Linked DNA regions of Macaca fascicularis. The protein of the gene in region 2 interacts with the protein of the main gene of each other region in a pairwise test. Links are inferred from orthologs where the notes say so. Each region holds a gene or a part of one and is shown on either strand. Other genes may lie near its edges.

Evidence for each region.
Region 1: the proteins of MYOG (region 2) and TXNDC9 interact in binary tests that used the Homo sapiens proteins (3 or more experiments, as listed by UniProt). The two-hybrid records come from large-scale screens. The link is inferred for Macaca fascicularis from reciprocal best matches to the Homo sapiens genes MYOG and TXNDC9.
Region 3: the proteins of MYOG (region 2) and CLUAP1 interact in binary tests that used the Homo sapiens proteins (3 or more experiments, as listed by UniProt). The two-hybrid records come from large-scale screens. The link is inferred for Macaca fascicularis from reciprocal best matches to the Homo sapiens genes MYOG and CLUAP1.
Region 4: the proteins of MYOG (region 2) and FTL interact in binary tests that used the Homo sapiens proteins (3 or more experiments, as listed by UniProt). The two-hybrid records come from large-scale screens. The link is inferred for Macaca fascicularis from reciprocal best matches to the Homo sapiens genes MYOG and FTL.
Region 5: the proteins of MYOG (region 2) and EIF4E2 interact in binary tests that used the Homo sapiens proteins (3 or more experiments, as listed by UniProt). The two-hybrid records come from large-scale screens. The link is inferred for Macaca fascicularis from reciprocal best matches to the Homo sapiens genes MYOG and EIF4E2.

The regions. Positions count from the first base shown.
Region 1 is NC_088387.1:3,828,652-3,833,732, reverse strand, and holds the start of TXNDC9 (thioredoxin domain-containing protein 9), read left to right. Parts: upstream 1-1,722; 5' UTR 1,723-1,817; intron 1,818-1,950; exon of another isoform or gene 1,951-2,046; intron 2,047-4,770; 5' UTR 4,771-4,802; coding exon 4,803-4,991; intron 4,992-5,081. Other genes in the region: EIF5B (eukaryotic translation initiation factor 5B), read right to left, coding at 449-483. UniProt on the Homo sapiens protein: Significantly diminishes the chaperonin TCP1 complex ATPase activity, thus negatively impacts protein folding, including that of actin or tubulin.
Region 2 is NC_088375.1:60,895,992-60,901,045, reverse strand, and holds MYOG (myogenin), read left to right. Parts: upstream 1-1,825; 5' UTR 1,826-1,877; coding exon 1,878-2,348; intron 2,349-3,121; coding exon 3,122-3,203; intron 3,204-3,275; exon of another isoform or gene 3,276-3,446; intron 3,447-3,793; coding exon 3,794-3,942; 3' UTR 3,943-4,717; downstream 4,718-5,054. UniProt on the Homo sapiens protein: Acts as a transcriptional activator that promotes transcription of muscle-specific target genes and plays a role in muscle differentiation, cell cycle exit and muscle atrophy.
Region 3 is NC_088394.1:4,274,008-4,278,924, reverse strand, and holds the start of CLUAP1 (clusterin-associated protein 1), read right to left. Parts: upstream 3,360-4,917; 5' UTR 3,296-3,359; coding exon 3,274-3,295; exon of another isoform or gene 2,649-3,273; intron 1-2,648. UniProt on the Homo sapiens protein: Required for cilia biogenesis. Appears to function within the multiple intraflagellar transport complex B (IFT-B). Key regulator of hedgehog signaling.
Region 4 is NC_088393.1:56,947,646-56,952,144, reverse strand, and holds FTL (ferritin light chain), read right to left. Parts: upstream 2,959-4,499; 5' UTR 2,757-2,958; coding exon 2,655-2,756; intron 2,494-2,654; coding exon 2,347-2,493; intron 1,978-2,346; coding exon 1,852-1,977; intron 1,357-1,851; coding exon 1,204-1,356; 3' UTR 1,060-1,203; downstream 1-1,059. Other genes in the region: apoptosis regulator BAX, read right to left, coding at 3,617-4,036.
Region 5 is NC_088386.1:128,466,084-128,471,181, reverse strand, and holds the start of EIF4E2 (eukaryotic translation initiation factor 4E type 2), read right to left. Parts: upstream 3,360-5,098; 5' UTR 3,309-3,359; coding exon 3,289-3,308; intron 2,967-3,288; exon of another isoform or gene 2,820-2,966; coding exon of another isoform or gene 2,815-2,819; intron 1-2,814. UniProt on the Homo sapiens protein: Recognizes and binds the 7-methylguanosine-containing mRNA cap during an early step in the initiation. Acts as a repressor of translation initiation.

The DNA of each region.
Region 1 (5,081 bases), on a different chromosome or scaffold from region 2:
GACCCCGAGTAGAGAAACCCGGCCGTACATCACACTCAGGCTCCCTTCTCTCCCAACTACTCACAGGTACAAGAGGCATAAAAAGAACTTCCCCACCCTCGCCAAGAGTAGCGCGGAAAAAAACTCACACTGGCCTGGGCCACGCTGGCGAAGCCGCCTGACTCCCCCCGCGCGGCCAGGAACCCTGAAATGACTGCCCCGCTCCTCAGGACGGGGAAGGGGTAGCCGGGGGACCGAGGCTCGACTGGGAGGACCCGCCGGCCGTCGAGGCCCTACGTGCCCACCCGGCCCGGGGGCTTGGGCCCGCGTCGCCCACTCTGGGCCCAGGCCTGGTACCCCGCGAGGCTCGTCGCGAGCCCAGACCCCGGTCCAACTCCGCGCCCGGCGAGACCCGCACACCCCACTGAGCCACCGCGGCTGCCGCCGTACGGACCCAACCCCTAGCTACCTGTCTTCGTTCTTGTTTTTCTGTTTCTTCCCCATTGCTTGTCAACGGCGCTCGTGGCCCCAGCTCCTCTATCCGTTCTCTCACAGACCCACTGTCTCCCAGCTGACTTTGGTCTCCGCTCAGCTCCTTTCCCCCCGGACTGCCGCCGCTCGCACCCGGCTCTCCACAGACCCGCGCACTGGAACAGGGCACATATGGTGTGAGTTCTCAGTGCGCAAGCGCATCGCCCCGCCGCCTCGGCGTGAGGACGCAGGGCGCGGCTCATCGAGAGCTGCGCTTCGGGTAGAGCGTCTCCGGTTGACCCGCCGGCCAGGCAGGAGCCCGAGCGCCCCCTGCCCGCAAGCGTCCGCCGCGAGCCGACGCCCGCGCGGTTTCCAGGTTCTAGAACCCGGAGGTGGACAATGCAGCTGTCAATTCCCCACCTCAGCCCTCTCCCAACGGGGAACGCACGCTTCGGTTCAGGAGTAGGCTTTGGGCTTCCCTTTATATCTTTGTATTCTCAGCCGCACGAAGTTCAGTAAAGAACCACAACTAACTAATAATGAGTCCTCTGGGGTTTGCGAGAGAGGTAAATCCAGGACAAAATAGGGACCTCTCAGTAACATCCGTGCGTTATGCATTATGTACAGTCACTGAATAAAACAGAGAACAGGACACACCCGATCAATTCCCTAACATAGGTCTTCATCTTTACCCTCAAAGCGAGGGCGAGTTCTAAACATTCCTGTGTTTAGAAGAGTCAAGAGGGAACCTACAGGGGTGGTGGAAAATGTTCTGTATCTGGATATGGCCGGTGATATTTTGGGTTTTAACTATGGAAAAGTTAATCGTGCTGTATATGTTTATGCCTCGACTTTAAGAAGAAGAAAAATGTTAAAAGAAAACAAAACACAAAACAAAAAAAAAGAAAAATGTTTATTCAACACTAACAGAATGGTAACGCAGTTCAGGCGTCACTGCTGAGCGAGAGCACAGCTGTCTCATTTCCAGTCTCGCGCACTGGACCGTGAGTACCGAAGCACGGTCCAGAAAAAGTCCGGCCACGCCAGCCTGCGCACTAAGAAACTGCAACTCCCACCATGCCTTGCGGCCTTCCAGTTCGGCCGTGTACCGGGAGGAAAGCAAGGGTCAGACACCTCCGGTTACGGGCTGCTGGGCGGGAGGCGCACGCGCAGGATTGTCCGGCAGCCGCCCGCCCGCCCCTTCCTCTGGCGTCCAAGGTGATATCGCGAGAGGTCCGCAGCCAATAGGGAGGCTGATGTGACGGCCGGTTTGCAGCCGCCGGCAGCTACTGCAAGGCAAAAGCCGGAGTGGACCTCTCTTTTGAAACTGCTGCTGTCTCACTTCTCAGACGTCACCGAGAGCTCAGGTGAGGCAGAGGGTAGTGAGAAAAATCCGACTACCACGTCCGCGTGCTGGTGAACATGTTACTGCTCCACATCCGGAGCGGAGGAGGGGCGCCGCCCCAGCACCGGTGTCGGGGTCCTGGTGGAGGCTCTTGCGCATGCGCACCAGGAGGCGTCGAAGTTGAGGCAGCCGGGACTGTGCCTTCCTGTGTCTCCCCGGGCTCAGGGAGTGGCCGGGATGCCACTCGGGAGGTACCTGGGGTTCGGTTAAGGACCAGGCCCCTTGATTGTTTTGGTGGATACCTGTAAGGGTGTCCAGGAAATGACTAGGGAATTTGAGGACGCGCGGTGTCCCGTCCCACCGTTCCTGCGGAGCTGTAAAAAGGAAGAATCAGAGGCTGTGATTTGAAGGATGAAAAGCTAACGGGGGATTGCATCGTCTCTTTACCCCGTTCTCAATGCTCTAACCACCAACACCTACACCCAGAATAGCGCTTCTTAATCGCATCTGTTTCCAGTTATCCCATAATTAAATTCTGGCCTCATCCTATAAAATTGCAGGGATAAGCATTCTCTGTGCTTATCCCTGGAGCACAGCTTCCAACGTGCAATTCAGTATCTTATTTTCTCCTTCCAGCTTCCTCACCGAGGGTCACAGTACTACTGACATTTTTCTTGGGTGGTAGGGAGTGTGGAAATCTTTGCTGTGTTTGAAATACAGCACCTTTCCAATTTTATAGCACTCACGAGGAGCTTACAATTTGTTTTTTTAAACTCAAATACTTTTGAAACTTAGCAGTGTAGTAATTTGAATGGAAGTTAGGCACGTGTTCATTCAAGGTTAAATACATGTGTATTGAGTACCTGCTGTGTTCTATGGAGATACAAAGATGAAATCAAGTATCCTTTTCAAATGCTTTTCCTGTAAAGAAAAAGGAATCAGAACTGAAGTTTGCAAGAATATTTCTCTTCAGCTCAACGTTGATAGAGGGCCCGTGTGGGTCAGGATCTGTGTCAGAAGCTGAGTGAATGAATTCACAGTTTATTATCAAGTTTGGGGTGCTTAGGTATTATTTGCAAATGTATCATAGTTTATTGACATGCAACAGTCTCCTGCTTTAATAGCCAAATTATAAATCATTTCTGCAGTAATAATCCTGAGATACACATAAAATTGCCGTCTAATTGTTGGTATAAAATTTCTCGTACAAAATACTCCATTGTTTTAAAAATATGTAGTCATGTGCCACATAAGGACATTTCAGTTTTATGAGATTATAATACTGTATTTATTGTACCTTTTCTGTGTTTAGATACGTAAATGCCATTATGTTACAGTTGCCTGCAGTATTCAATACAGTAACATGCTGTACAGATTTGTACTAGGAGTAATAGGCTGTATGGTATAGCCGAGGTGTGTAGCAGGCTGTACCATCTGGGTTTGTGTAAATACAGTCTATAATGTTTGAAACAGTATCAGAATCACCTAATGACACATTTCTCAGAATGTATTCCCATTTTTTGTGGGTTTTTGGGTTTTGTTTTTTGAGACAGGGTCTGGCTCTGTCGCCCAGGGTGGAGTGCAAGTGGTGCGACCTCAACCCACTGCAACCTCCGCTTCCTAAGTTCAAGCTATCCTCCTCCCACCTCAGCCTCCCTAGTAGCTCGGACTACCGCCACACACCACCAGGCCTGGCTAATTTTTCAATTTGTAGTAGAGACAGGGTTTCATCATGTTCCCAGGCTGGTCTCAAACTCCTGAACTCAAGTGATCTGCCCACCTTGGCCTCCCAAAGTGCTGGGATTATGGACGTGAGCCATAGCGCCCAGCCTAGAATGTATTCCCATTGTTAAGTAATGCATGACTCTAATTGAGATGGGTCTTTGTTTCTAATCTGAATGAGTTCTATTTTGAAACTCTTTGTACAGAGGAGTGATGATGGAAAAAAAAACCCAAAGTTTTAAAAAGTATTTGGAGTGTTTTACATCAAAGTTAAGAACACTGTCAGTAAATGGAAACCAGTATTAATTTTTGTGGCCTCAGATTTTTTTTTTTGTTAGGTAATGGGAGAACGGGAATGGACATTAATGCTTAGGGAACACCAGGCACTGTTCTTTACATAAGTGGTAATAAGACGTCTTAGGAGTTAAATGAAGCTCATTTGGGCAGCAGCCATGAAAAAATGTGTTTTGCTCAACTCTATTCTGTGTGTTTCAGTAAGGTTAAATATATATATATATATATATGTGTGTGTGTGTAAAACCTCAGTAGGTATACCTTTCTATTGTTGACAGTTGTTTCTGACTTCTCTTACCCATTGGTAAAGAACACTGATTATCAGTATATATCACTAGGTATAACTTCACAACTCATTTATCTGTGGTTTGGTGATGGTCTTAAAGACTTGCCTTGGCTTTAGTGTAGTAGAACGTACGCTAAATCAGAAGCACCCTAAATTTGCTATAAGTGGTTTTTGAGTGGTGTGACTAGAACCTATTGAAAATTAAATTTAAAAACACATAAAAATTCTTAAGCCCAACATCAGGGGCTTGGATGTCTTTAGAATACTCCATAGAGTACACATACACGTGCCAGAATTTTTGAAAACAGTAGAGAAAGCCGGGCGCAGTGGCTCACGCCTGTAATCCCAGCACTGGGAGGCCGAGGCGGGCGGATCACAAGGTCAGGAGATTGAGACCATCCTGGCTAACACAGTGAAACCCCGTCTCTACTAAAAATACAAAAAAATTAGCCGGGCGCGGTGGTGGGCGCCTGTAGTCCCAGCTACTCAGGAGGCTGAGGCAGGAGAATGGCGTGAACCCGGGAGGCGGAGCTTGCAGTGAGCCGAGATCGCGCCACTGCACTCCAGCCAGGGGGACAGAGCGAGACTCCATCTCAAAAAAAAAAAGAAAATGGTAGAGAAAAGCTGGCTTATTGTTTGCATTTTTTAAAATATAGTTTGTAAATCTCCCCAGCACCCAGGCTGAACTTTGCACCATTCGGCAGAATGGAAGCTGATGCATCTGTTGACATGTTTTCCAAAGTCCTGGAGAATCAGCTGCTTCAGACAACCAAACTAGTGGAAGAACATTTGGATTCTGAAATTCAAAAACTGGATCAGATGGATGAGGATGAATTGGAACGCCTGAAAGAAAAGAGACTTGAGGCCCTAAGGAAAGCTCAACAGCAGAAACAAGTAACCTCTCTGCTCTGCTTTCTGAAATTGCTATAACAGTATGCGCCTAACAACTTATATATCCATGTGCCGTAGTAGTTACATTTCATT
Region 2 (5,054 bases):
ACAGGTATGAGCCACCACACCCAGTCTATGCTGCTACTTTCTATCATGCTGGTAAGGCCAAGAACAGAATTAAGACCTCACTGTTCTCCCTCAACATGCTTAGGGCTCTTTTATTGTTCAGCTATGTTCCCTCCTTCCCCCCGTTTCCTATCCCAAAAGGACATCAGAATTCTCCTGGCTCCCTGCTGTGAACAATGAGAGGAAGGAACACTGGTTCTTCACATGCTGCACAGATCTCATCTCCCTTGTAATCTCCCCTGAGTCCCCAGCAGAGTTCCCCTTCCTCTCATTGTCCTTGCCACCGGCTTGAACTTGTCATTTTGATCTGTCATAGGATGAGGAGCAGGACAGATCAGACTTGGTCTATGGGGCCTAAGGGAAAAAACTAGGAACAAAGGGTAAAAGATAGAGGGAGAAGATTGCAGCTCAAAGCTGCACGTCAATGGAACGGGCTGTCTCCTGACGTGAGCAGAAGCTGAACAGTGGTTGCCTGGGAGGAGATTCGGTCATCAGGGGCTAGGTAGAAAGAGGTGACCACCATTGTCTACCAGATGGTAAGGTCAAGGGCAGGGACCCTGTCTGGGGTGTCCCTATAATCCCCAGCCCTAAGACTGAGCCTTGTTCACTGCTGGTGTCTGAGGTCTGCCCACTGCATTGGAAAGAATTTGTCCTCTCAGACCCTGAGGCACCTACTGAGAGGTGACCATGGCCTGAGAGGCCCGAAGATTATACAGTCCCTGCTCCACCTGACATTTGAGACCTGCATGATACATGTAAAATTGATGGCTCAGATGAAGAGGCAGAACAACCAAGCCCGATGGCCAAGGAGAGAAGAGATTTAAACTGAGTTTGAAGGGCTCTGTTTTTTCTCCTTTTTCACCCCCATCCACAGTAATGAGTCAGGAAAATTCTGGTGTTGGAAAAAGAGTTGAGGAGGTAACATAGAAGGACAGATCAATGGTCCGGAGTGAGACAGGGAGGAGACAGGGAGCTTAGTACATCTTGACCTTGCGGCTCTGGGGAAGGTGGCACGTGTAAGCTGTAAATTCTAATCTCTGCTCTGACCACGGCCGCTGTATTAAAGAGAAAATTTCTCTTGACCCCTGCCAAGAAAACCAAAACCCAAATAATTTCTCTTGCCTCAACTTACCCCCCATCACATGAGACCTAAGAGAACATACAGGTCAGAGCTGCTTGGGAACCCCAAAAGTGGAATCTATTAGCTGCTCTGAGTCTTGATCCCTTTTATCCCCGGATACTGAGTGCCCATGAATGCCCAGAATCTGAAGCAGTCCCATTCTTTCGGGAGGGAGGTCTTTAAGAGTCTCATCGACTGATGTAGTGTGGTTAAGGTGCTGTCAGGAAGCAGGGAGATGGATAAGTTGGCTCTTAAGGCCTCTTCCAGCCTAAGCCTACCCTTCCTTGTTCCCTCCTCCCCCTACACCCACCAGCTTCTTGGGGACTAGCAAGGAGAGAGCAGGCAGGCCGCCCAGCTAGGAGTAATTGAAAGGAGCAGATGAGAGGGGAATGTGTCCTCCCCCAATGCCCCTGCCCCACAGGGGCTGCTGAGAAATGAAAACTAATCAAATTACACCCGACGGCCTCCCGACCCGTGCACAGGAGCCCGCCTGGGCCAGGGACAGGCTGGCTGGGTGGGGTGGGGGCCATGGGGGAGAGAGAAGGGGAATCACATCTAATCCACTGTAAACGTCTTGATGTGCAGCAACAGCTTAGAGGGGGCTCAGGTTTCTGTGGCGTTGGCTATATTTATCTCTGGTTCCATGCCAGCGGGGAGGGTTTAAATGGCACCCAGCAGTTGGCGTGAGGGGCTGCAGGAGCTTGGGGTCTGGTGGCAGGAACAAGCCTTTTCTGACCCCATGGAGCTGTATGAGACATCCCCCTACTTCTACCAGGAACCCCGCTTCTATGACGGGGAAAACTACCTGCCTGTCCACCTCCAGGGCTTCGAGCCACCAGGCTATGAGCGGACGGAGCTCACCCTGAGCCCCGAGACCCCAGGGCCCCTCGAAGACAAGGGGCTGGGCACCCCCGAGCACTGTCCGGGCCAGTGCCTTCCGTGGGCGTGTAAGGTGTGTAAGAGGAAGTCGGTGTCCGTGGACCGGCGGCGGGCGGCCACACTGAGGGAGAAGCGCAGGCTCAAGAAGGTGAATGAGGCCTTCGAGGCCCTGAAGAGGAGCACCCTGCTCAACCCCAACCAGCGGCTGCCCAAGGTGGAGATCCTGCGCAGCGCCATCCAATACATCGAGCGCCTCCAGACCCTGCTCAGCTCCCTCAACCAGGAGGAGCGTGACCTCCGCTACCGGGGCGGGGGTGGGCCCCAGCCAGGGGTAAGTGGCCATCCCGTCCCCCTGCCCCAGGGGGAGGGGGCCAGAGGGAGGCACCTGGACAGCCTCAAGACCCCAAGAGGGGCTCAGAGGGTTGGAGCAGGTGCCAGACAGGGTCGAGGGGCTTCAGGAGCCCTTCCCTGGTCAGAGCTGGGCTATCCAGCTGACCCCCTGTGTCCTGTGTTCTTTCCAGAGGAGATAGAGGCAGTGAGGAGGAAGTGCAGAAAGGGTGGGGGTGGGGAACACAGGACTGAAGAAAGGATCAGGAGCAAGGCCACAGTCAGCCCGGGTAAGGGTGAGGATTAATCGCAGAGCCTGAGTCAGAGCCTAAAAAGCCAGGCCAAGTTCACCAGAGAAGGCTGCTTTGCCCCCTGCCCCACCCCCATCCTGGGTGTGGCTGAGCAGAGAGAAAACCCACTCAGTCTCATTGGAACTCCAGCAGGCCTGCACAGAGTGACCTTCACTGGGCCAGAAAATCTGTCTCCATCACCCTTATCACCAGAGTCAGGAGAACCAGGGACCTTTAACCTGGGGTCCTGTGAGGGCAGAACCACCACTCAGGATGGAAGCCAAGAAGGCCTGGAAGCAGGGCCTCTAGGACATGAGAGGAGCTGGTTACTAAGATTCTGGGGTTGGGGATGGCCTGGGCTGGAAGGCCACAGCCTGTGGCCCACCCTCCAACCCCACCACAGGTGCTTCTGCCCACTGGGACTAGGCAGAGAGACACATCAAAGAACGGCTGTGCCCCGACCTTGGGCCTTCGCCCTGTCTTGCAGGTGCCCAGCGAATGCAGCTCTCACAGCGCCTCCTGCAGTCCAGAGTGGGGCAGCGCACTGGAGTTCGGCGCCAACCCCGGGGGTAAGTGAGGCTTGACCCTGGTAACCTTGACTCCAATCCCTCAGTCCCTCCCTGGGCGTTCTTCCCTCTTACCTTATTCCTTGCTCCGGTCCTCTTCCCTTGGGTCTCTCCAGGGACCTGCTGACTCCAGGACCCAAAGGGTGGGCTGGGAGGTTCTGTGTAGCCCTGCAGTCTTGACCAGCAAAGGAGTGATAGTGGCTCCTGCAGCTCCCCAGCTGATGCCTGGTGGTTGACCTTCTCCACAGAGAGGACAATGTCCCTGCCCCAGGGGTCTCTGCGAAGTGCTGAGTCAGTGCTGCAAAACCGGGCCGAGCAAAGGGCAGGTCCAGTCTCTGGGGAGCTCCATCCTGCTCCAACTTGAGTGACTGCTTCCAAACCCTACCTCACTAGGGGAGTTCAGAGAAGAGGCGCGCGCGCGCACACACACACACACACACACACACACACACACACACACACAGCATGGGGAAAGGCAGGGACTAGGGAGTAGAACTCCGGAGCTTTATCCCCCATCTGTCCTGGAAAACCTGTGTCACCCCAAGGGTCCCATCCTCTATTCTGGGCCTCAAGAACCCCCACTCCTCACCCAGGTACCACCTTCCCACCTCCCCTTACAGATCATCTGCTCACGGCTGACCCTACAGATGCCCACAACCTGCACTCCCTCACCTCCATCGTGGACAGCATCACAGTGGAAGATGTGTCTGTGGCCTTCCCAGATGAAACCATGCCCAACTGAGATTGTCTGCCAAGCCAGGCATCCTTGCAAGCCCCCCAAGCTGACCACAGATGCCACTGCTTCTGTAGCAGGGGCCTCCTAAGCCAGGCTGCCCTGATGCTAGGAAGCCAGCTCTGGGGTGCCATAGGCCAGACTATCCCCTTCCTCATCCATGTAAGGTTAACCCACCCCCCAGCAAGGTACTGGATGCCCTCATTCAGCTGCCTCCTTAGAGGACAGGGCATCCCCTTTCCAGGAAGGTAAAGCAGGGGACCAGAGCGCCCCCTCATGTATGCCCCAGTTCAGGGGGCAAACTCAGGAGTTTCCTTTTTATCATAACATGGCCTCTAATTCCACCCCCTAAGTGAAACAGTTTGAGAGACACAGACAGTGTCCTGACCTGGACAAGCTGTGCACGTCTCCTGTTCTGGTCTCTTCCCGATGCCAGTGGCTGGGCTGGGCCTGCCCTGAATTGAGAGAAAAGAAAGGGAGAGAAACAATCCTCTGTTCCCAAGTCCCTGGGGGGCCAAACTTTTGCAGTGAATATTGGGAACCTTCCAGTGGTTTTATGTTTTGTTTTGTTTTGTGTGTTGTTTGTAAAGCTGCCATCTGACCAAGGTCTCCTGTGCTGAAGTTGCCGGGGACAGGCAGGGAAAGGGGGTTGGGGGCTCTTGGGGGTGATTTCTTTTGTTAACTAAGCATCGTGTGGTTTTGCCATTGTTTTGTATTTTTTTTTTTTTTTTTGCTAACTTATTTGGATTTCCTTTTTTAAAAAATGAATAAAGACTGGTTGCCAGAAGAGTGTCGGTGATGATGCAGAGGGAGGGAAATGACTGACAGCCCTGCCCTCTCCCACTGAGCAGTCCAGACACACCCTAGTGGGCGGGGCTCCACAGCGCTGAGGGCCTCATCTTGCTGGTGGTCACTAGGCACTGGGGACCCCGGCTCTTTTCACCATGAGGAAGGAAGTCGAGCATGTCTAGACCTCAGTCTAGGTGGAGACCAGATTCCACAGACATCCTTGTGGGACACGGAGGACAACTGGCTAGGACTATACTTCACAGCCATTGCTCACAGGCTGCTGTGCTCTGCGTCATGTCCCAACAGGTCCTCCGGTTTCAGTTAACTGAGCA
Region 3 (4,917 bases), on a different chromosome or scaffold from region 2:
CACCTCGGGAAAAGCATTAGTGCTTTCAAGAGAGCAAGACTTGGAAATGAACACCACAAACATTGTTGAGCTCCCATGATGTACCAAGATTTACATTCAGTGTGCTTCCTGGTTATTTAAGGTCTGTCTGCACTCTTCTTGAAGATCCATGTTCAAAATGGTCCATCAGTGTTCACAAATAACCTACCCCGGTACTGGAAGTCAGGTCAGACTTCGCAAGACAATGGAAGAAAAAGTGTGAGCACAGGAAACAGCAAAGTCACAAAAGGGACTCTGTAACTGTTTTCTGGGAAATGTGAATATGGAGATTAAAAAAAAAATAGCTGGGTGTGGTGGTGCATGCCTGTGGTCCCAGTTATTCAGCAGGCTGAGGTGTGAGGATCACCTGAGCCCAGGAGGTTGCAGTGAGCTGAGATCATGTGACTGCACTTCAGCCTGGGTAACAGAGTGAGACCCTGTCTCAGAAAGAAAAACAAAAAAAGGCCAGGCGCGGGTGGTTCATGCCTGTAATCTCAGCACTTTGGGAGCCGAGGAGGGTAGATCACCTGAGGTCAGGAGTTCAAGACCAGCCTGGCTAAAATGGTGAAACCCCACCTCTACTAAAAATACAAAAGTTGCTGGGCACCGTGGCTCACGCCTGTAATCCCAGCACTTTGGGAGGCCGAGGCGGGCGGATCATGAGGTCAGGAGATCGAGACCGTCCTGGCTACCACGGTGAAACCCCGTCTCTACTAAAAATACAAAAAAATTAGTCAGGTGTGGTGGCAGGCACCTGTAGTCCCAGCTACTCGGGAGGCTGAGGCAGGAGAATGGCGTGAACCCGGGAGGCGGAGCTTGTAGTGAGCCGAGATTGCATCACTGCACTCCAGCCTGGGCGACAGAGCAAGATTCCATCTCAAAAATAAATAAATAAATAAAAACAAAAATACAAAAGTTAGGTGGGCGTGGTGGCGGGCACCTATAATTCCAGATATTGAAGAGACTGGGGCAGGAGAATCACTTGAACCTGGGAGGCAGAAGTTGCAGTGAGCCAAGATCACACCATTGCACTCCAGTCTGGGCAAGAGAACAGCCTTTCCTTCACACAGTAAGGCACTGCCTAAATACTTCTGACTACTAGGTACTAGTCAAGTTCTGTTAATGTTGCAGTGTTATTGTCAAAATAGAGACTAATTTGAGTAAGATCCTTACCATACAACGCACAACTGCAGAGCATTAATTTAAGGTCAAAATATTTTGAAATCTCCGTGTATGGTCTTCCCAACAAAACCCCATTCTACGTCCCCTGGCAGGGTGCTGGCCTCTCTAAAAACTATGTGGGAGGAGACACTCATCCTGTATGATGTGTGGCCACCAAAAACCTTCAAACTCCAGAGGACAGGATTCACACTCTGGTGCTCAGTGGCTGCATGAATAAAAGGTAATGCGTTTTCCTAGATATTTTTTTTTTTTTTTTTTTTTTTTGAGACGGAGTCTCGCTCTGTCGCCCAGGCTGGAGTGCAGTGGCGCGATCTCGGCTCACTGCAAGCTCCGCCTCCCGGATTCACGCCATTCTCCTGCCTCAGCCTCCCGAGTAGCTGGGACTACAGGCGCCCACAACCGCGCCCGGCTAATTTTTTGTATTTTTAGTAGAGACGGGGTTTCACCGTGGTCTCGATCTCCTGACCTTGTGATCCGCCCGCCTTGGCCTCCCAAAGTGCTGGGATTACAGGTGTGAGCCACCGCGCCCGGCCTCCTAGATATTTTTATATTGTAGAAAAGAGCAATTCATAACCAAAGGAGTAATCTCTAATGCTAAAATTTCAGGCACCAGCAATTTGCTGAGAAAATTGACTCTTTAAGAGACCCCTAAGATCACACCAAATTGGCAATCATCTACTATTCCTTTTTTTTTTTTTTAAAGACAGTTCCACTCTGTCGCCCAGGATGGAGAGCAGTGGTATGATCTCAGCTCACTGCAACTTCTGCCTCCAGGGATCAAGCAATTCTCCTGCCTCAGCTTCCCGAGTAGCTGGGACCACAGGTGTGCGCCACCATGCCCTAATTTTTTGAATTTTTAGCAAAGGCGGGGTTTCACCATGTTGGCCAGGCTAGTCTTGAATTCCTGAACTTCAGTGATCCGCCTGCCTCAGTCTTCCAAAGTGCTGGGATTACAGGCGTGAGCCACTGTGCCCCGTCGTAACCAACACTCTTAGCCTCATTCTTCCACTTCCCCACCCTCTTAGCAAAGGAATTCGAGCTCCCTTCTCCTCACCAGCCCTGCAGAAAGGATGCAGACGGAGTTCAGGAGGTCTGGAGTTCAGGCAACCTGAATTCAATCCCCAGTGCCACCTCCTATCGCCTGTGTCACCTGCTCAAGTTACCTGACCTCTCTGTGCCCGTTTCCTCACTTCCAGATGCAGGCGGTACAGTTGTTCAGATGATTAAAATGAAATGCACATAACACAGAGTGGGCCCTGGCACATCGTTAAAACTCAAAAAATGTTAGCTGCAATGATCATCACCCAGCCCCTCTCCTCGGTTTCGCTGCTGTTTTTTTGTTTTGGTTTGGTTTGGGGTTTTTTGTTTTTGTTTGTTCGTTTGTTGCTTGAGATGGAGTTTCGCTCTTGTCCCCCAGGCTGGAGTGCAATGGTCCGATCTCGACTCACCGCAACCTCCTCCTCCCGGGTTCAAGCGATTCTCCTGCTTCAGCCTCCCGAGTAGCTGGGATTACAGGCGCCCGCCACCACCCCCCGGCTAATTTTGTAATTTTAGTAGAGACGGGGTTTCTTCATGTTGGTCAGGCTGGTCTCGAACTCCCGACCTCAGGTGATTCGCCCGCCCCGGCCTCCCAAAGTGCTGAGATTACAGGCGTGAGCCACCAAGCCCGGTTTTCTAAGAGCTAAGCAAACCCAACTCAAAAAATTGTCTCTAAATTATCCATGCATTTTCCAATACTGTAGCTAACAGCGGCATGCAGCTACACAAATAGAAATGAGTTACACTTAAAATTTCAGTTATTCATCTGCACTAGCCACATTTCGAGCGCTTTGAGCCAAACGCGGCCAGTGGCAGATAAAGAACTTTACATCCTCGCTAGAAATGGCCTAAGAAGGGCCTGGGGCACTGGGCGGGGTTGCAGCCGCGGGTCAGAGGCGTTCCTTGAGGCGCAGAGGCCCGAAAGGAGGCTCTGGCAGCGCAAACCTCAGGGGTCGCCTACATAGGGGACCCGGCAGGCGGGAGACCTGACTCTCTGGAAGACCTGCAGGTCACAGGGGCGCGGGGCTGCCTTACTGCGGAGGTCGCGGAAAGACATGACGCTCAGGTCCCCAGAAGCCCAGGGTGGCAGCTGCTCGCCCCTCAGCGCTCACAGGCCCAGCGCTCGCCGGTCTCTATGGCAACCAAAGGACCCTTGGACGGCGCACGGTCAGGGACAAATAAGAAGGGAAGCGAAGGCGCCGCGGTTCGTGCACGCGTACAGGGAGAGCGGGCGGGCAGAGGGCGCTCCTGAGACGTCTAGGGCAGAGGGCGTGGTGATCCCAGCTTCTATGGGGGCTGCAAGCTCCCCGGCTTCTGGGCCTGTGTTTAAACGCTTTGCGGACGTTTCGCGCTGGCTGACAGACTCTAAGTACCTACTATGTGCTTGACATTGCGCTAGGCGCTTCCCATAATGCTTATTTCCCCCTCATTTCTATAAAGAATGCACGATACTCGGCCGGGCGCGATGGCTCACGCCCATAATCCCAGCACTTTGGGATGCCGAGGCGGGCTGACACTTCAGGTCAGGAGTTAGAGACCAACCTGGCCAACATGGCGAAACCCCCGTCTCTACCAAAAAATACAAAAATTAGCCAAGTGTGTGGCGCACACCTGTAATCCCAGCTACTCGGGAGGCTGAGGCAGAAGAATTACTTGAACCCGGGAGGTGGAGGTTGCAGTGAGCCGAGATCACGCCACTGCACTCCACTCCGGCCTGGCGACAGAACGAGACTCTGTCTCAAAAAAAAAAAAAAACAAAGAATGCACTATACTTAGGAAGCCGGCCTTCCCGGGTCCAAGGCACAGCGCGCTCGCCGTCGGAATCCGGTTGTGGAGCGGAGGACGGGAGCACTATGGGCGGCCAGAGGCAGGCCAGGCCCGGGTCTCGCGCACGCGCAGACGGCTCGGGCTTCTCAACAGGCCAGAAAGCTGCCCACAGCCGCGCGAGCCGTACGGGTCAAGGAAGCCCCGGCGTCTGCATGAGGGCGCCAGCAGGCGGCCGGAAAGGGCCCCCCCCCCATGTGTGAACTGGGGAGATACCCCGACAGGCGTGGCACAGCAGCCGGGTTTTGTAAGGTAGCTTGAGCAGGAACAAGGAAACAGCGTAGTGCACAAAGCGATTGGTTGGCATCAGGTTATTTCAGATGCGTTTCTTTGTATGGGTTAAAGGAGAGGGGGCTTCCTTATGCCAGCCTAGGTGGACAGGGCCCCTTCTGTTGGTTGCAGTGAATCTTTTGTGTTTTGGCACACTGGCCTGTCTCTAAGTTCGCTTTGATTACGTGGCACCTTGCACTAGCGGTTCCATTCTGGTTTGGTCTGGTCCGTTGGTACCTTGTGCAGGAGCTTGCTCCAAAACAATGGTCTCCCATAAATGTTACTTCACGTGTTATTAAGAAAAACAAAAGGTAAGCCACAGTCTAGAAGAAAATATTCACAAAACACATATATGATAAAGAAACGTGTATTCAGAATGTATAAAGAACTCTCAACACTCAATAAGAAACAGTCTAGAGAATGGAGAAAACATTTTAAAAGATGCTTCACAAGGCCGGGTGCGGTGGCTCACATCTGTAATCCCAGCACTTTGGGAGGCTGAGGCGGGTGGATCACCTGAGGTCAGAAGTTCAAGAGCAGCCTGGTCCACATGGTGAAACCCCATCGCTACTAAATATACAAAAA
Region 4 (4,499 bases), on a different chromosome or scaffold from region 2:
CCCACCCCAGCCCCAGGGGAAGAAGGGGAGGAGTCAGAGCTGACAAAGCAGTTTTGCAGCTTGGACCCAGCAGATGCTTTTTAAGGCCTGTTTTCAGCTTTTTCAGTTCCCACTTGGAGAATCTGGCCCAAAGTTTCACATCCCATTTCTATGATGAACCCTAAACCCCTTGTCCAGCATTGCTTGGGCATCACGTGTGCCTGGCCGCTCAGCTCCGCCTGTCAGTTCCTCTCAGTGTGCGCCTCACATTGGGATTACTGAAGCTTGGGCCATAATCTGTAAACTCTGGAGCAAAGACCTCAGTGAGCCTCCTGGTTGCCATGCAAGTTGCACAGCAATAGCCTCAATGTGCCCATATAAAGGGCCTAATAATTTCAGCTGCCTCCCAGAATTGAGGTTTGTTTTTTTTTTTTTTTTTTTGAGACAGTCTCACTCCATTGCCCTGTCTGGAGCACATTGGCGCGATATCAGCTCACTGCAACCTCCGTGAGGCAGATATGGTTTTTGGGTTTTTTTTGAGACCAGAGTTTCGCTGTTGTTGCCCAGGCTGGAGCGCAATGACGTTGATCTCAGCTCACCGCAACCTCCGCCTCCCAGGTTCCAGCGATTCTCCTGCCTCAACCTCCTGACTAGCTGGGATTACAGGCATGCACCACCACACCCGGCTAATTTTGTATTTTTAGTAGAGGCGGGGTTTCTCCATGTTGGTCAGGCTGGTCTCGAACTCCTGACATCAGCTGATCGGCCCACCTGGCCTCATAATCACTCGTTAAATAGTGCTGTTTCTGGCTGAAACCGAACAGATCTGTGTCCAGGTACCAACCTAGGTCTTAATTCAACTCCCTGGAGGCTATCTCTGCCATCTGGGAGGGACAGTTAACAGCCAGGCAAGCAGAGAACCCTCAAGTTCAACACTACCCAGATAGCTTCTTGTCTTAGAAGAGATAAGAAAATGGGAGATGGGGCCAACTCCTCTTTCACTGGCATCCCCAACCCAGCCAGAAGCTTTATGAGAACAGATCCCACCTCATCTTCCATACCACACACAAAACCACCAACTGCATCAAAAAGCTTTATTTCCATTTGGTCCAAGGCTTGTTAGGGTCGTTAAGAAAGCTGCCTAGTGGCTGGAGGGAGAGGCTTAGGCAGAAGCCCTATTATTTTGCAAGGGGCCCTTCAGAAGTCGCTGGGCTCAGAAAGCTCTTAGTCGTGCTTGAGAGTGAGCCTTTCGAAGAGATACTCGCCCAGCCCAGCCTCCGGGCCGGCCAGCCTGTTGAGGTTGGTCAGGTGGTCACCCATCTTTTTGATGAGCTTCACTTCCTCATCTAGGAAGTGAGTCTCCAGGAAGTCACAGAGCTGAGAGAGAAGAGGGAGAAATTAGAAACCCGATCCCTGCCGGGCGCGGTGGCTCAAGCCTGTAATCCCAGCACTTTGGGAGGCCGAGACGGGCGGATCACGAGGTCAGGAGATCGAGACCATCCTGGCTAACACGGTGAAACCCAGTCTCTACTTAAAAAAAAAAAAAATACAAAAAACTAGCTGGGCGAGGTGGCGGGTGCCTGTAGTCCCAGCTACTTGGGAGGCTGAGGCAGGAGAATGGCGTGAACCTGGGAGGCGGAGCTTGCAGTGAGTCGAGATCCGGCCACTGCACTCCAGCCTGGGCGACAGAGTGAGACTCCGTCTCAAAAAAAAAAAAAAGGAAACCCGATCCCTGGAAAAGAGGGAGAAAGAGCTGCCAGTTGCAGATTAAAATATGACAGGTGTTAAATGAGGCTCTGAAGGGAATTTGCCCAAAGAGAGCAAAGGCTTGAGGGGTATGGTTGGGTAGCCATGGATGCAGGGGGTACGTACATGGGGATCCGTGTGGGCAGAACCCAGGGCATGAAGATCCAAAAGGGCCTGATTCAGTTTTTTCTCCAGGGCCATGGCGGCTTTCATGGCATCCGGGGTTTTACCCCACTCATCTTCAGCTGGCTTCTATACAGAAGGGAGAAACGGCTTCAGAATACACACACTCGGCACATGGAACTAAACCTACATTTCCCAAGAGTTGGTGGGGGTCAGAGGCCCAGGCCACAAAGACATGTGACAGCTTGTATTTATCACTCTCCGCACCCCGTCCTAGCTCTTACAGCTACACGTCCTTACGTCTACGCAGCAGTGTGGACTGCCGCGTCCTGGGGGCACTGCACGACGTGCGCCTCTATTTCCAGCCGTAAAAGGGCTCACAAGACCGAACTCAATCTCCCCGAAGCCCACGCGACATCTAAGCCCTCAAATCAAGGCTCCTCGCGCGCACGGCCTGCTGGGAGATGTAGTCCGTTACCCTACCCACACACTAGTTACCTTGACGTCCTGAAAAAGAGCGCGGCCGCCACGCTGGTTTTGCATCTTCAGGAGACGCTCGTAGCCCTCGCGCTTCTCCTCGGCCAATTCGCGGAAGAAGTGGCTCACGCCTTCCAGAGCCACATCATCGCGGTCGAAATAGAAGCCCTAAGGAAAGAGATGGAGGGAACAACGCTTAGCGGGAGGCGAGGCCAAGGGGGACTCTGCCCTCTGTTTACTCGACCGGACAAAGAAGGCCGGCGCCTGCGCTGAGGGCCGAACGTGCGCAGCTGGGGGAAATTAGGGCCAGGGGCGTCCTGGGGACTCACCAGAGAGAGGTAGGTGTAGGAGGCCTGCAGGTACATATTGACCAGGCTGTTGACGGCTGCCTCCACGTCGGTGGAATAATTCTGACGAATCTGGGAGCTCATGGTTGGTCGGCAAGACGGAGCTAACCACAAAAACGGTGCTGGCAGGTCCCAGAAGCAGGAGATGGCCGAGAAGATGGTCCCGGAGGTTGCAAGTGGAGAGGAAATCGGAGGGCGGTCGGAGGCTGGAAGAAAGAGTCCCCGGATCTGTTCCGTCCAAACACTGTTGAAGCAAGAGACAGACCCGCGGGACCGCCGAACTGCCAGGGGACGTGGCTAGGGCGGCTTCTTTTATAGTGCGCTGGCCCTCGGAGGCGGGGCGCTCGGAGCGGGCTATCGGCCAATCTGCGGTGGCAGGAGGCGGGGCCGAAGTCCGTGCCTGACCAATCCGGAGCACACAGGAGTCTCAGCCCCCGCCCCAAAGCAGGGGGAAGTCACGCGCCTGCAGCGCGAGTGTGTTGTGAAATGGGGGCTTGCGGGGGTTGGGGCCCTGGGGCCGATTCGAGGAATGGAGGGTTTCGTGGGCGGGGGGGTGGGGGGTGGGGGCTGGGGTTCCTCTGGGAGACTATAGTTTTATGGGAGCATTAAGAGTCCTGTGAACTGATGACCCTGGGGTCCTGGGGGTGCCTCGGGAAAGTAAGTCAGATTCTGGGGTTTTGGAGGGCATGGATTTTTCTGGAATCTTGAGTGGGGGGAGGGGCAACTCAGAGGTGCAGGGAGGACCTGTAGTTGCCTGAGGTTTGTGCTGCGAGATAAGGAGTCTCCGGATCCTTGGGAAGCTTGGAAGGCAGTGAGGTGGTATTTCTGGACCCCTGGGGATCTCTGGGAGACAGAGGGGTGCGAGGACTGGAGTCCTGGGCTTTACAGAGGTGGGAGTTCACGATGCAAACTCTATATTTTGGAGCCCTCCCCCGGGGAGATCTTTAGGTCCTTGAGGTGCTCTGCAAGTTGGAAAGGGCAGTTGTTCTGGAGCCGTGGGGTTCCCCAGTGCGGGAAGCCCAGGAGGAGCATTGTATGAGGTAGGATGACTTCTGGAACCCTGGACAGCCCTCGGAAACCCTCCAAAGACTGGCTGGGACTTTGGGGATACCTTGGAGCTCTTTCAAGGGCCCAGTCGTTTTCTGGGAGTGGAAATGGGGAGGAATGAAATGTCTGTTTCGAGCTTTGCGGTGTCTCTGGGACTGCGTGTCCTGGGGGCTGTTTTGGAGGCAACTCACAGACTCCGAGAATTCTCCTTGGCCCTGAAAACAGTGTCTCCGCAGTTGCCGTCGTGTCTTGCCTGACGTGTGCTCTTTCAGGCCCACAAAGAGAAGCCCTGCGTTGTGGACACACAGTCTGGGGACCTATGGACGAGACGTCTGTCTACAACTAATGCGTATTTTTTTTTTTTTTTTTTGTGACAGAGTCTGGCTCTGTTGCCCAGGCTGGAGTCCAGTGGCCGGATCTCAGCTCACTGCAAGCCCCGCCTCCCAGGTTCACGCCATTCTCCTGCCTCAGCCTCCCGAGTAGCTGGGAGTACAGGCGCCCGCCACCTCGCCCGGCTAATTTTTTTTTGTATTTTAGTAGAGACGGGGTTTCACCGTGTTTGCCAGGATGGTCTCGATCTCCTGACCTCGTGATCCGCCCGTCTCGGCCTCCCAAAGTGCTGGGATTACAGGCTTGAGCCACCGCGCCCGGCCTCTCTAATGCGTATTTTTTAAGCGGACCTGGTCCATGTTGATTTCTGGGAGACGGAGTCGGCGCAAACCTTGACCCTGCTTAAGTGCCCCGATGGAGGTAGCCCGTGCGCTGGGCAGGGAGCTGAAG
Region 5 (5,098 bases), on a different chromosome or scaffold from region 2:
TCTTCTTAGCTTCCAACTCCCACTATAGCCTCTGGGGTCCCTTGCATTTAGATCTTGGTTGAAGAGGGGTATAGTCATCCCAGCATCTTGTTTTTGCTAGTCCCAAGAAAAGCATATACCTTCCTTTCTTTTTAGTGGTTTTGCTGCTTATCACTACCAGGAAACAGAGAAAAAACTAACAAAAATAATTGTCAGAGAAGAAACAATGTTCCTGTGATCCCTGGACCACTTCGGATTCCTTTCTAAGACAGTAAATGGGAACCCTAATGGACCTACACCTAGTGCTTTTATTACCTGAGGGTGGAACTAACCAACTACTCTGCCCTCTAAGCCTATATTTAAGGCAAATCTTATAAGCTACTCTTCCCAGCTTCAAGCTGGATTTGAGTCAAGATACCACTCAGCCTGAAAAATCAGTGCTCTGTAAACTCAGGCAGTCAGGTAGCAACTCTGAGGCTGTCCAGACTGAGAGGAACTTTAGTTAGCTTGCTAAGCTTCTGCCCAGGTATTTCCTCACCCTCTGAACTAGACCAATTCCTTGTGGGCAAGACCTTGGTTCAATTCATCTTTATACCCCCACCATCAGACAGTGGCATAAAACAAATTTCCATTTAATGAATGGGTCTATAGAATCAAAGCAATGAGTGCCAAATACGTGGTTTAGACAATAGTTAGGAATGGGCCCAAAGTTAACGATACAGAATAAAAAGCAAATGATGTAGAATACGGACAAAATCAAGTACAGTGGTCTAGATCTGAAAACCATGTTTAACTACGTCAGGACTGCAGTTTTTGTGAAAGCATCTTAGGGTTTTACATATCAATAGGATCACTGGCAATGCAATCTAAGGACTTGATAGGTCTACCCCCTCTCCACAAAAGCAATTATAATCAAAGGTTTCATTCAGAGAAGTTGAGTCCATACAGTAACGGAGATTAGAGCTAATCTTTAATATGAGCCCATTAGATTATATACTACTGTACTCAGCTCCAGCCACTGGACTTCTGGAAGAATTCTGGCAAACTGGAACATGTCCTTAAGAGCAATGTGGTAAAGAGTGCAGATTAGTAAAGAGAGCAATGTGATAAAGACTCCAAATATGCAGCAATGGCCTAAAAACTGCAGAATTTCTGAATGAAAAACAACATAAAAAAATAAAACTAGGGGCAGGAGTGCTGTTTTCAATTGCTAATTTCAAATGAAAGAAAGCTTGTTTTTCTTCTTCCTGCAATGCTAGAGGGTAGATGTTAAAAGATTCTGGCTCAATATAATAGTTAATAATTCAAAGTGATTAAAATGACCCAGGTTCTTCAATCATAGAAGAGCTAAGATAAAAAAGTGGACAAGTTTAATTTTTCTCACAAGGTGCTTGAACCAAGGTTACACAACAAACCTGGGATAGCCCTTCCTTTCCTGTTGTCTTGGGCATTACTTAATCTCAGAGTCTCCTTTTCCTTATCTGTAAAAGGAGATAACAAGATCCCCTTCACAGAGTTGTTAGAGTAGAAATAACATATGAGGCTGGGGGTGGTGGCTCCCGCCTGTAATCTCAGCACTTTGGGAGGCCAAGGTGGGTGGATCTCTTGAGTCCAGGAATTGGACATCAGCCTGGGCAACATGGTGAAACCCTGTCTCTACAAAAAATACAAAAAAATTAGCCAGGCAGGGTGGCACATGCTTGTAGTCCCAGCTACTCTGGAGGCTGAGATGGTAGGATTGCTGGTGCCCGGGAGGTTGAGTGGGCAGTGAGCTGTGATCACACCACTGCACTCCAGCCAGGGTGACACAGTGAGACCCTGGCTCAAAAAACATATATATATGAAAAGTACCTAGCAAGATCCCTGTGGAAGTCCATTATTACCATTCTTACTGCAGACCCCCAAATGATTTAGGTAGGCCTGAGCTAGATGACCCATAAGATGTCTTCTTAGGATGAAATTTGGTTTGTGCAAATCAGTGGAGGAAGGGGTATAAAGGTTCCAGAAAGCTCCACTGAGGCAGGATGTGGATCTGGAACTAGGTGTTGCAGGGTTTACGATAGAGATGAAATGGGACGGCAGTGTGGGAGAGGTTCGTAGAGGGATAGGCTCAGTTAAACCTAAGGATAGAGAAGAGGTCGGGCAAAGACTTTCTCAAGTAGCAGAGACCTCTCAGCAACCAGCAAACATGCCTGAGGACCTACCTGCCTGGAGTGTTGGAAATCCAGTACTCTTTGAATTTGCACAGTACTCTCTGCATTGGAAAAACCCTAATTTCCCATCAAAAGCACAAGATCACAACCTAAACTAATAGTAGTTCCACTTTACGTTTATATCTCAGTAGTTAGCAATGTTTCACAAATATCTTTAAGCATTGCTGAGTGTGATTTGACCCTTATCACACCCCGCTGTGGCAGCAGGGTACTAACCACTAACGTGGTTTGAGAAACAATGGCTCAGAGACTGGGTAACTTTTCCACAGTCAAACAGCTGGTAAGTGGTGAATCTGGGACTACAAATCCAGGCTTTCAGATGAAGAGGCAGATTTACTAGACTACTGGAACAGAGGTAGGAACATATTCTACCTCAAGATACAATCCTTGGAGGGGAATAAGTAAAAATACTTCTGCATTTTCCCTCTGTACCTCCAAACTGTTTGATGCTGAAACTAGAAACCGGAGCGGGCAAGAGAGGGCGACAAGTATACCCAAGTCTTGGCGAGTGTGTTGGAAGACGGGAACGGGAGTGGGAGGAGAAAGAAAGTAGGAAGAGTCTCAGGAAGATGCTAATTCCTAAGCCAGCCTTCCACCGCGTCGAGGGCAGCCGCCACATTACCTCATTGCATCCTCCAAACTCTACGACAAAGGGTGTTACCGTCCCCACTCTGCAGATGAGAAAACTGAGGCTCAGAGGGGAGAGGGAGTGTGTGGGGAAAGCTGGATTCAGAGACAGCGCGGCCAGACTGCGGAAACACCCAAACCGCCGAGGTCCCCACCCCTCCACGTCGTCGGCAATCCGCATCCACCGGGGCGGGGCGTCCGAAAATCTCCCCCTACCGGGCGGCACAGCCACCCCTCCCCCGGGCTCAGCTCTTCGCCCTCGGTTCGGACGGCCCTGGGGTCTCCGGGACCCCGGGATCCATCGCTCCCCAGCCCCCTCCTCCCCGCCAGCCCAGGCCAGGTCCGGCCGCAGCCTGATCCCGGCAGGGAAGCCGGGGCCGCCGGGTTTGCGCCGCCCTAGCCCCAGTGGGGGCGGGCGCGGGGGAACTGTTGGGGGAAGGGGCCCCGGGGGCGGCCACGAGCCACTCACGCGTCGAACTTGTTGTTCATCCTCTCGCCGCGGCTGTCGCCACTGCCTCAGGGAGTGACTTCCGCTCCACCGGGTCCCTCAGCCTTAGGCCCGGGTACTTCCGGTTTTGCGCGGGGCACAGCGGAACGTCCACGCGCAGGCCCGGTTTGGGGGCGTCTATCTCGGGACGCCAGCCCAGGGCGGCTGCGCAGAGGGTTGGCCTCAGCGGCGGAGCTGGCTTCAGGTCTCAGCTTTGTCGCCGTCCAGGTCCTGTGACCTGCCCGCTCTCCTAAGGGAGCGTGTCCAGGCGCCCTCCTGCAGCGCCTCCGAAAAAAGGCAGCACCGCGTCGTTGACAGCGCGGGCTCTGGACTCGCTGCCTGGTAAAAACCCTCCTCCTCCTCCAGTGCCGGACGCACTCTCCGGTATCTCTCTTAACCTTCCCGAGGCTTTCCTTTGGCGGCAGCGCCACTATACTATGGCATACCTCGTTTTATTGCGCTTCGCAGATAGGACTTTCTAAAAACAAATTGAGGGTTTGTGGCAGCCCTGAGTCCAGCAATTGTATTAGCGCCATTTTTCCAACAGCATGTGTTCACTTCGTGTCTCTGTGTTACATTTTGGTAATTCTCAAAATATTTCAAACTTTTCATGATTTCTGTGTCTGTTATGGTGATCTATGATCAGTGATCTTTGATGTTGCTATTGTTTTGGGGTGCCACATACAGCGTCTTTTATAAGACCGCGAACTTAATGTTGTGTGTGTTCTGACTGCTCCACCCACAGATTGTTCCCCATCTTTCTCCCTCTTCTTGGGCCTCTCTATTCCCTGAGACACAACAATATTGAGATTAGGCGAATTAATAACTCTGCAATGGCCTCTAAGTGCTCAAGTGAAAGGAAGAGTCGCACGTCTCTCACTTTAAATCAAAAACTAGAAATGATTAAACTCAGTGAGGAAGGTATGTCAAAAGCCGATATAGGCCGAAGGCTAGGCCTCCTGCGGCAAACAGTTAGCCAAGTTGTAAATGCAAAGGAAAAGTTCTTGAAGGAAGTTAAAAGTGCTACTCCAATGAACACACGAATGATAAGAAAGCGAAACAGCCTTATTGCTGATATGGAGAAAGTTTTAGTGGTCTGGATAGAAGATCAGACCAGCCACAACATTCCCTTAAGCCAAAGCCTAATCCAGAACAAGGCCCTAACTCTCTTCAACTCTATGAAAGCTGAGAGAGGTGTGGAAGCCGCAGAAGAAAAGTTTGAAGCTAGCAGAGGTTGGTTCATGAGGTTTAAGGAAAGAAGCCGTTTCCACAACATAAAAGCACAGGGTGAAGCAGCTAGTGCTGATGTAGAAGCTGCAGCAAGTTATCCAGAAGCTTTGGCTAAGATCATTGATGAAGGTGGCTACACTAAACAACAGATTTTCAATGTAGATGAAACAGCCTTCTGTTGGAAGAAGATGCCATCTAGGACTTTCATAGCTAGAGAGGAGAAGTCAGTGCCTGGCTTCAAAGCTTCAAAGGACAGGCTGACTCTCTTGTTGGGGGCTAATGCAGCTGGTGACTTTAAGTTGAAGCCAATGCTTTGTTTACCATTCTGAAAATCCTAGGGCCCTTAAGAATTATACTAAATCTACTCTACCTGTGCTATATAAATGGAACAGCAAAGCCCGGATGACAGCACATCTGTTTACAGTGTGGTTTACTGAATACTTTAAACCCACTGTTGAGACCTACTGCTCAGAAAAGAAGATTCCTTTCAAAATATTACTGCTCATTGACAATGCCCCTAGTCATCCAAGAGCTCTGATGGAGATATACAAGGAGATTAATG